Canis lupus familiaris: one gene and its partner. The protein of the gene in region 2 interacts with the protein of the main gene of each other region in a biochemical or structural test. Links are inferred from orthologs where the notes say so. Each region holds a gene or a part of one and is shown on either strand. Other genes may lie near its edges.

Region 1 (4,242 bases), on a different chromosome or scaffold from region 2:
GTACCAGGAAGCCTCCGTGGAATGGGAGTGTGAGTACCCAGTACCAGAAGCCTGTCCAGGTGAGGAGTGAAGGCTTGGCGGGCCTGGAGTCCCAGGTCAGAGGTTGCCCCCTGGGTGGTGTGGGGAAGGGGAGGAGGGGGCTTGGCGGGGAGGAGCGAGTGCAGACCCGAATCTGGGGTGCCCACGTGGTGCCCAGGTGAGGTCCTACAAACAAACGCCGGTGTGGGCCACGTGGAGGCAACCAGGCAGCGACACGACCGCTGAGGAGCGGGCAGGGAGGGTGTTCAGAGGCGCTAATCCGGATCAAGTGCAGCAGTTATGACGACCCACGGAGGTGTGGACTCAAAAATGAAGATCGTGGGGCAGCCCGGGTGGCTCAGCGGTTTAGCGCCACCTTCGGCCCAGGGCCTGATCCTGGGGACCCGGGATCGAGTCCCACGTCGGGCTCCCTGCATGGAACCTGCTTCTCTCTCTGCCTGTGTCTCTGCCTCTCTCTCTCTCTCTCTCTCTCTCTCTGTCTCTCATGAGTAAATAAATAAAATCTTAAAACAAAAAACAAAACAAAAATGAAGATCGTGGGCGACGTGGGCAAACGCAGGGTCCTCGTCCCGGCCAAAGAGTCAACCGGAGCAGAGGCAACCGCCAGCTAGTGTAGACAGCGGGATCTTGGGTTCGGCACGGGGAGGAGGGCGGCCGGGGCCAGGGAACCAGCGGGGCCGGACCGTCCTCGTGACGCTGGCTCCGCGGCTCAAACCTCTCGGACTCGAGCTCGCCCCGGGTCCCGCAGCGCGCGTCCGCGCGGACTGCCGGAGTTTCGGTTGCGTGAGTCTGGGATGGGGCAGTCCCCACGGCCCGCCTTCGCAGCGGGCTCCCGGGCGCGGCGGCGGAGGGGCCCCCCCGGGGAGCGCGGCCCCGGGAGCCCACCTCGCCGAGGGGCCAGAGCGCGGGGCCCGCAGCGCGCCGCCTCCCGTTGCCGGGCAGAGCCGGGCCGCGCGCGCTTCCATTGGCCGCAGGTGGGCCGCGCCCCGCCCGACAGGTAGACCGCCCCGCGCCGAGCCATTGGGTCGCGGCCGCGGGGACCCCCGGGGATTGGCCCAGGTGGCGGCCCCGCCTCGCCCTCATTGGCCGCAGGTGCCACCGCCCCCGCCCCGGGACCGCCCGTCCCGCCGATTGGCCGCCCGCCGGGCCCCGGGTCGGCCATATTCGGACCCTCCGCACCCCCCGCCCCCGGGCCTGGCGCCGGGAGTCCGTGCGCTCCCGTCGCGCGCCCCCGCGGGCCGAGCCCCCCGCCCGCCCGCCGTCCAGGTTCCGCGGAGGTGGCCGGCCCCGCGCCCTGGGGCCCCGCGCCGCGCGCGCCCTTCCGCGTTCCGCCGCCGGCCCCATCCTGGCGCCCCGGCCGGCCGCCGGGTGCCCATGGCCCGCGCGCTGACGGCTGACGGCTGACGGCTGACCGCGGCCGGCCGAGCGCGCCATGCCCAGCAGGACCGGCCCCAAGATGCACGGGAGCGGCTGCCGCGTCCGCCTGAAGGCGCACCACAGCGGGTGAGCGCGCCCGCCGTCGGGGCCCGAGCGGCCGCCGCTGCGCGCGGGAGGGAGGGGGCGCCCCGGGCGGGCGGGGTCGCCGGTGGGGGCCGCGCCGGGCCCTCGCTCCCCGGGTCCGTGCGGCGCTGGCGCGGCGCTGCCACTGCCTCTGCGAAGGTGGCCGGACGTGAAGGCCACGGACCTGTGAGCACTGAAGTTTTTGTCACATGAAAACCGCCGGCCGAGCTGTAAAAATCCGGGTTTCCTAGGCGTTTCCCAGTTTACCCGGCCGGAGGGCTCGGCGGCACGATCCCGGGGAAGGTGAGGGGCACCGGGCAGCCCGCGGGCGCGCCCACTGGGGCGGGGCGGGGCGGGGCGGGGGCCCCCTAAGTCCCTAGGCGCCGCTCTGTTGGAGCCGATCTTTCGGACTCTGATCCGCTCCGCGCCCGCGCGGCGCCCTGGACTCGATGTGCCCGCGGTAAAATGGGGCGAGCGGGCACCGCTCAGGGGTCAGAGGCCGGGCGCGCCGGGCCACGCCCGGGAGCGCGCACCCTCCGCCGCCGCGGGGCAGCCCTGCTGGTGGTGCGGGGGGTGGCGCGGCGCCCGCGGCCCGGCCGGGATCCGGCCTCAGCCCCCAGCGCTCGGGGGCAGCGGAAACCCTGCTGCTGCGGCTGCTTGACGCCCGTGGTCTCCCCAGAGGTGCGCCTCCTGCTGCATCCTCCAGATTGAGGAGGAGCCTGGGGCTCTTGACTCGGTGAGGGCACCTCTTTTGGGGTCTCAGGTCACACCTGTCCTGTGCCTTCTGCCATGGTCATCTGGGTCACCTGGCAGAGTGGGTGACAGGGCTCTGGGGAGGAGTGATTTCTGGGGGGACCGTGGCCAGCCCACCTGAAGAGGTCTGCCTGTGGACTCATGCAGGGCCAGAACAGGTTGGCTCTCTGGCTGGTGAACCCGGTGGAAAGCCTGTCCCCATATCTGACAGTCCTCTTCCCAGCCAGGAACTGTGGGATTGAGCAATAAGCCACTTTGTGAAAAATCAGAGTTGGTCCTCAGGGTGAGGAAGTCCACACCCCAGCCGCTTGGCCCGGGGTGGGTGGAGATGGGACCCCCCACCCCCCAGCCCCCCAGCCTGCCCCCAGGCTGGGCTCAAGGAAGCAGTGTCAGGCACTGGGTGGAGGGGTGGGGGCAGGCAAAGTGGACTGGAGCCTGGGAGTTCTGGAGGGAGCCTGCTGCCCCCAGCCCTGCCCCCTACTTTGGCCCCTGGAGAGTGCTTTGGTTACTGCCAGTAATGTGACCTGTTGGGTTTGGTTCCTGGGCTGATGAGGCGTCCACTCATCCTGTTCTCTTCCTCATCCCCTCCCTCTTCCTCCTCCTCCTCCCACACTCTTCCTTTCTCCCTTGGTGGTAGGTAGTACCTGGACTGTACTGAGGTTCCTGCCTTACCCCTGCTCCCCACTCCCTCCTGCTGCCCCTGCCCTGGTCCCTCCCCCAAGGGGCTCACTTATCCAGGCCTCCAGGGTCCTGGTACTCCGGATGGACTATGCTGCCGCCTGGCTGCTGGGAGGTTGTTTTGGACAGCGGGGCCACAACAGAAGGTCAGACCCATTGAAGATGTCATTGTTAAAAATAGGGAGCCCCCAAGTTGGCCTTTGGAGGATGTGCCGTCACCAGGGTCTGAGTGGGGTCCAAGCAGGATGCAGCAGTACCGTGTTTTGAGGGTATTTCCAGGTAATGAATGTACCATGGAGGTGGAGACCCTGCTTTGCCAGATTGAGTCTCAGCCCTTGTCTAACTAAGCTCACAGAAACAACCACATGGGGGTCTTCCTCTTTCCAGCTCCAGTCTGGTCTGCTGTTCACACCATCAGCTTTGGGGGAAGGTCTGATGAAGCCAGTGGGCTTGAACTGGACGCACTGTCCACCCCACCTGTACCCCTCCTATGTGACCTTTTGAGTGGAATTTGAACTTGATGCCTGAGCAAGTGCTTGCCCGGCTTCCACAGTCCATGCTTTCTGATACCCCCACTTCTCCATCTAGGCACATCTAGGCACAGGATAGATCTTTCCTTTCTGTGCTGGGGCATCCATGAGACTGGTCAGTAGTTCTGTTGAGAGGCCTGTAATATTTTGTTTGCGAGAATTTTCATTTATGTAACCAATAACTCAATCAGTAGTATTTAATTTGATTTAAATGTGCTCCTTGGTGAAGCATGTCCATCCTCTTTGCCCTAGGGACATCCTGATCACCAGCCTAGATGCAGCAATGACCTTCGAGGAGCTCTGTGATGAAGTGCGAGAGATGTGCAGTCTCCGTCAGGGGCACCCGCTCACCCTTAAGTGGGTGGACAATGAAGGTAGGCCTGGGTCATGTGTCTGTCAGACTATAAATCTCTAAATCTTCTGTGTGGATGAAGTGAGATCAGCCCCCTTAAAATGATGGCATTAAGCTAGTTAACACCTGTCTTTGGGGTCAGGATGCTGGAAATCACTTATTGGAGTGGTTACTGGAAAGGAAGCTGTGTTTTCGGGGGTCGGGAGGGAGGAGAGTCCCCTGCAGGGCAGATGGGGAAGGGGCGGCAGAGGTCTCCCGGTCCCCCTGGGACCAGCTCTGGCCATCTTTCCCTGTTCTTCCGTTCTGTCCTGGGCTTTCCAGTGGCTGATTTGGAAGGATAAGTCTTTCTTATTTTCATCTTGTCAGGGAAAGGGGGAGGGTAAGTTGCTC
Region 2 (3,560 bases):
TATTTTGCTTCTTAGTCCTTAATCCTTATGCTCACTCCTTCACCGGAGGAAAGCATACAAGGCTGGTGCGCTGATTGAAGGGGATTGGCCAGTGAAGCCCGACAGTTGGAAATTCAGTGAAAGACAAGAATGTGGAGGAAAAAGCAGATTATGCAGGTCCCTGCAGCATCGGCAGTGAGTGAGTGACAAGGAGGCTCGGGGGTTCCCCAGTAACGGAACCCCTGGCTCCCTCCCACCACCCACCGGTCCAGGCAGCAGCACTTGAAGGGTGAGCTGGGCACAGAAAGTCCCACGGAAGCAGGAGCCGAGTTGCACCGAGGCTGGCAGGGCACAGGTGACCTCATCCCCAACACAGGGAGGGGCCACGCCACTCAGGGCAAACATGTGGCAAGTAGTATAGACCTGAGTGGGCAGTGGGTTCTCCGTGGGCTGTCAGCTGGAGCAATGGCATCCATTTGGTGAAACAGAAGCAGCAGTGGTTGGTGGTTGGTGGCTGGTGGCCAGTGGCCGGTGGTCAGTGGCCAGAGGGAAGAAGGAAGAGGTCACCCACGTTTGCACATGTGTCTGGACTCAGAGAAGGAGCTCACCCAGCTTTGGTTTTAATGTCGGTCGCAGAGAGGGGAACGGATACACTGATGTGTGTCAAAGACAGAAAATTCGTTCATCAAAGCAACAGTGATGGCTGGGTCTCGGGCCTGGGGGTTTGAGGCAGGACCGTGGGCATTTGGGGACAGCCATAAATGCCACCCACTGGGTGCAAGACACCTGTCACTCCAACCACAGTCCAGCCGAGGCTGGAGCTATCTCAGGTGACGTGAGGCCCACCGAAGGCGCTCACCTCTGCAGAAGCACCCTTCAGACTTCTTGGTGGCCAAGTGTCTCCTGAAGAAGGGCTTCCTCTGGCACAACACGCACAGAGCTGCTAGTGGACAGGAACCAGGGAGGGCCGTCAGTGCAGGTGACTGATCCGCTCTAACAGAAAGGGCCCTCTGACCTTCGGGAACCTTGACTCACATTCCTGCCCGCTTGTGTCACTGGGCGAGCAGGAGGAAAGCCCCAGGGTCAGCTCCACAAGCTCTCACCAGGCCCTGGTGCCTTTGCTTGGAAGGCTCTTCGGAGTGGACCCCATCTCCATGGAGGCTGCTCGGGGTGCCTGTCCCCAGTGGTCAGACTCCTGTGTGGGTGACAGTTGGCCCACGGGGGTGGAGGCCATGGAGGCCGCTGCTCTGTGAACCTCACTCTTGCCCACCACGTTCCATGTCATCTCCACAGCTGGGAGGCGCCAGGCCCCAAACCCCTCCCCCGTCCTTCCCCCCTGCTCACGATGTGGGAGTGGTCATCCCAACTGGGCAGACACCACTGCCACTGTGACCTGGGATGCTGATTTTGAGACACAGAGGCTAGCTCACGTGTTGAACCCTCCAAAGCTCATGGCAGGTTTTTTTGGACTTTTTTTTGCTATTATGTTTTACATGTAATTCCTAAGTATTTTCCTTCATTCACAGCAGAAGCTCAGGAAAATAACAGCTTTCTCTCACTGCTTACTGACCCTGCGCCCGGCTTAGGTGGGCTCACCCTTGAATTCCCTTCTCTCCCCCTGTGCTGTTGCTTACGGGACTTGGAAGCAGCCCGATGCTGGCTCCAGGGTGGAGATGCTTCCAATGCATCGCAGCTTCACCCCCAGATGTGCTGCCCCAGGAATGTCCTGAGTCATGTCCGCCATGTCCCAGCATAAATCCTGATCCAAAAGAATCCAGATCCCCAGGACAGAAGACAGGCAGCTTCCCCAGGGAGGCCAGAGCAGAGGATAGGAGGCCTAAGGTCATCGCGCCCTCTCTTCCAGGATGGACATCACGCAGCGAGAACTGCCCACTATGGCTCCCTGCCCCAGAAGTCCCAGCATGGCCGGCCCCAAGACGAAAACCCCGTAGTGCATTTCTTCAAGAACATTGTAAGTGCTCCCATCCCCCTGTGAGCACCGGGCAGCAGGGAGAATCAAGACTGCAGGGGTCAGGGGCTGCCTGGCCACTGCCTCATCCACTGGGGAGCTAAGTCTATCCCCATGACCCTGTCTCTATCCACAAGGGGGCCTGAGTCTATCCCCAGATGACCCTGAACACTAACGATGAGGGACCTGAATCTATCCCCAGATGACCCTGAGCTCTAATCTATGGGGACCTGAGTCTATCCTCAGATGACCCTGAGCTCTAACCATGAGGGACCTGAGTCTATCCCCAGGTGATCCTGAACTCTAATCTATGGGGACCTGAGTCTATCCCCAGATGACCCTGAACACTAACAATGAGGGACCTGAATCTATCTCCAGATGACCCTGAGCTCTAATCCATGGGGAGCTAAGTCTATCCCCAGATGACCCTGAGTCTAATCCATGGGGACCTGAGTCTATCCCCAGATGATCCTGACTCTAACCCATGAAGGACCTGAGTCTAAGGATTGTCAAAGACAGAAGATTCATTCATTGAAGCAACAGTGATGGCTGGGTCTCAGGCCTGGGGGTTTGAGGCAGGACTGTGGGCATTTGGGGACAGCCATAAATGCCACCCATCTGTGGGAGCCGGGTGCAAGGCACCTGTCACTCCAACCACAGCCCAGCCGAGGCTGGAGCTACCTCAGGTGACATGAGGCCCACCGAAGGCCCTCATCTCTGCAGAAGTACCCTTCAGACTTCTTGGTGGCCAAGTGTCTCCTGAAGAAGGGGACACTTCTTGTTCCTCTGGCACAACACGCACAGAACTGCTGTTAGGAGTCAGGGAGGGACCTGAGTCTATCCCCAGATGATCCTGAGCACTAACCATGAGGGACCTGAATCTATCCCCAGATGATCCTGAGCTCTAATCCACGGGGACCTGTGTCTATCCCAGATGATCTGACTCTCACCCATGAGGGACCTGAGTCTATCCCAGATGATCCTGACTCTAGGCAATGGGGAGCTGAGTCTATCCCCAGATGATCCTGAGCTCTAACCCATGAGGGACCTGAGTCTGTCCCCAGATGACCCTGACTCTAACCCATGAGGGACCTAAGTCTGTCCCCAGATGACCCTGAGCTCTAATCAGTGAGGACCTGAGTCTATCCCCAACGATGCGTCCCTCCTGCTCAGGGTGAGGTTGGTCATGGGAGCTCAACTCTAGCACCTGGTCACAAGGTCCACACTGCATCTGCCACTTGCTGAATTTTATGTTCTAGCAAAGAACTCACTCCTTTGAGACTAAAGTACTATGAGGTGCTTAGTTTAAAAATGCAGGCTTTGCAAAACTATGGATACAAAAACATCAAAGAGATAAAAAGTTTAGTGGTTGTCAGAGTTTAGGGGCAGAGGAGATGAAAGGCAGAGCACAGAGGGATTTTCAGTCAGGGAAGGACTCTGCGATACTGAGCTGGTGGACACATGTCATTGCACATGTGTCCAAACCCACAGAACGCACAACGTGAGAGGGAACCTTACCGTGCATGATGAGCTTCACCTAATACACCCATGTTGGTTTGGGTTCATGGTCTGTAACAGAGGAGCCAGGCTGATGCCAGGCTGTAGTAAGTAG

What was found.
Region 1: of the proteins of MBP (region 2) and PRKCZ, one has a biochemical effect on the other in vitro, tested with the Homo sapiens proteins (2 studies listed by BioGRID). The link is inferred for Canis lupus familiaris from reciprocal best matches to the Homo sapiens genes MBP and PRKCZ.

Annotation. Positions count from the first base shown.
Region 1 is NC_049226.1:57,486,961-57,491,202, forward strand, and holds the start of PRKCZ (protein kinase C zeta type), read left to right. Parts: upstream 1-1,406; 5' UTR 1,407-1,471; coding exon 1,472-1,542; intron 1,543-1,703; exon of another isoform or gene 1,704-1,842; intron 1,843-3,039; exon of another isoform or gene 3,040-3,054; coding exon of another isoform or gene 3,055-3,116; intron 3,117-3,752; coding exon 3,753-3,874; intron 3,875-4,242. UniProt on the Homo sapiens protein: Calcium- and diacylglycerol-independent serine/threonine-protein kinase that functions in phosphatidylinositol 3-kinase (PI3K) pathway and mitogen-activated protein (MAP) kinase cascade, and is involved in NF-kappa-B activation, mitogenic signaling, cell proliferation, cell polarity, inflammatory response and maintenance of long-term potentiation (LTP).
Region 2 is NC_049222.1:2,911,238-2,914,797, forward strand, and holds part of MBP (myelin basic protein), read left to right. Parts: intron 1-1,843; coding exon 1,844-1,951; intron 1,952-3,560. UniProt on the Homo sapiens protein: The classic group of MBP isoforms (isoform 4-isoform 14) are with PLP the most abundant protein components of the myelin membrane in the CNS. They have a role in both its formation and stabilization.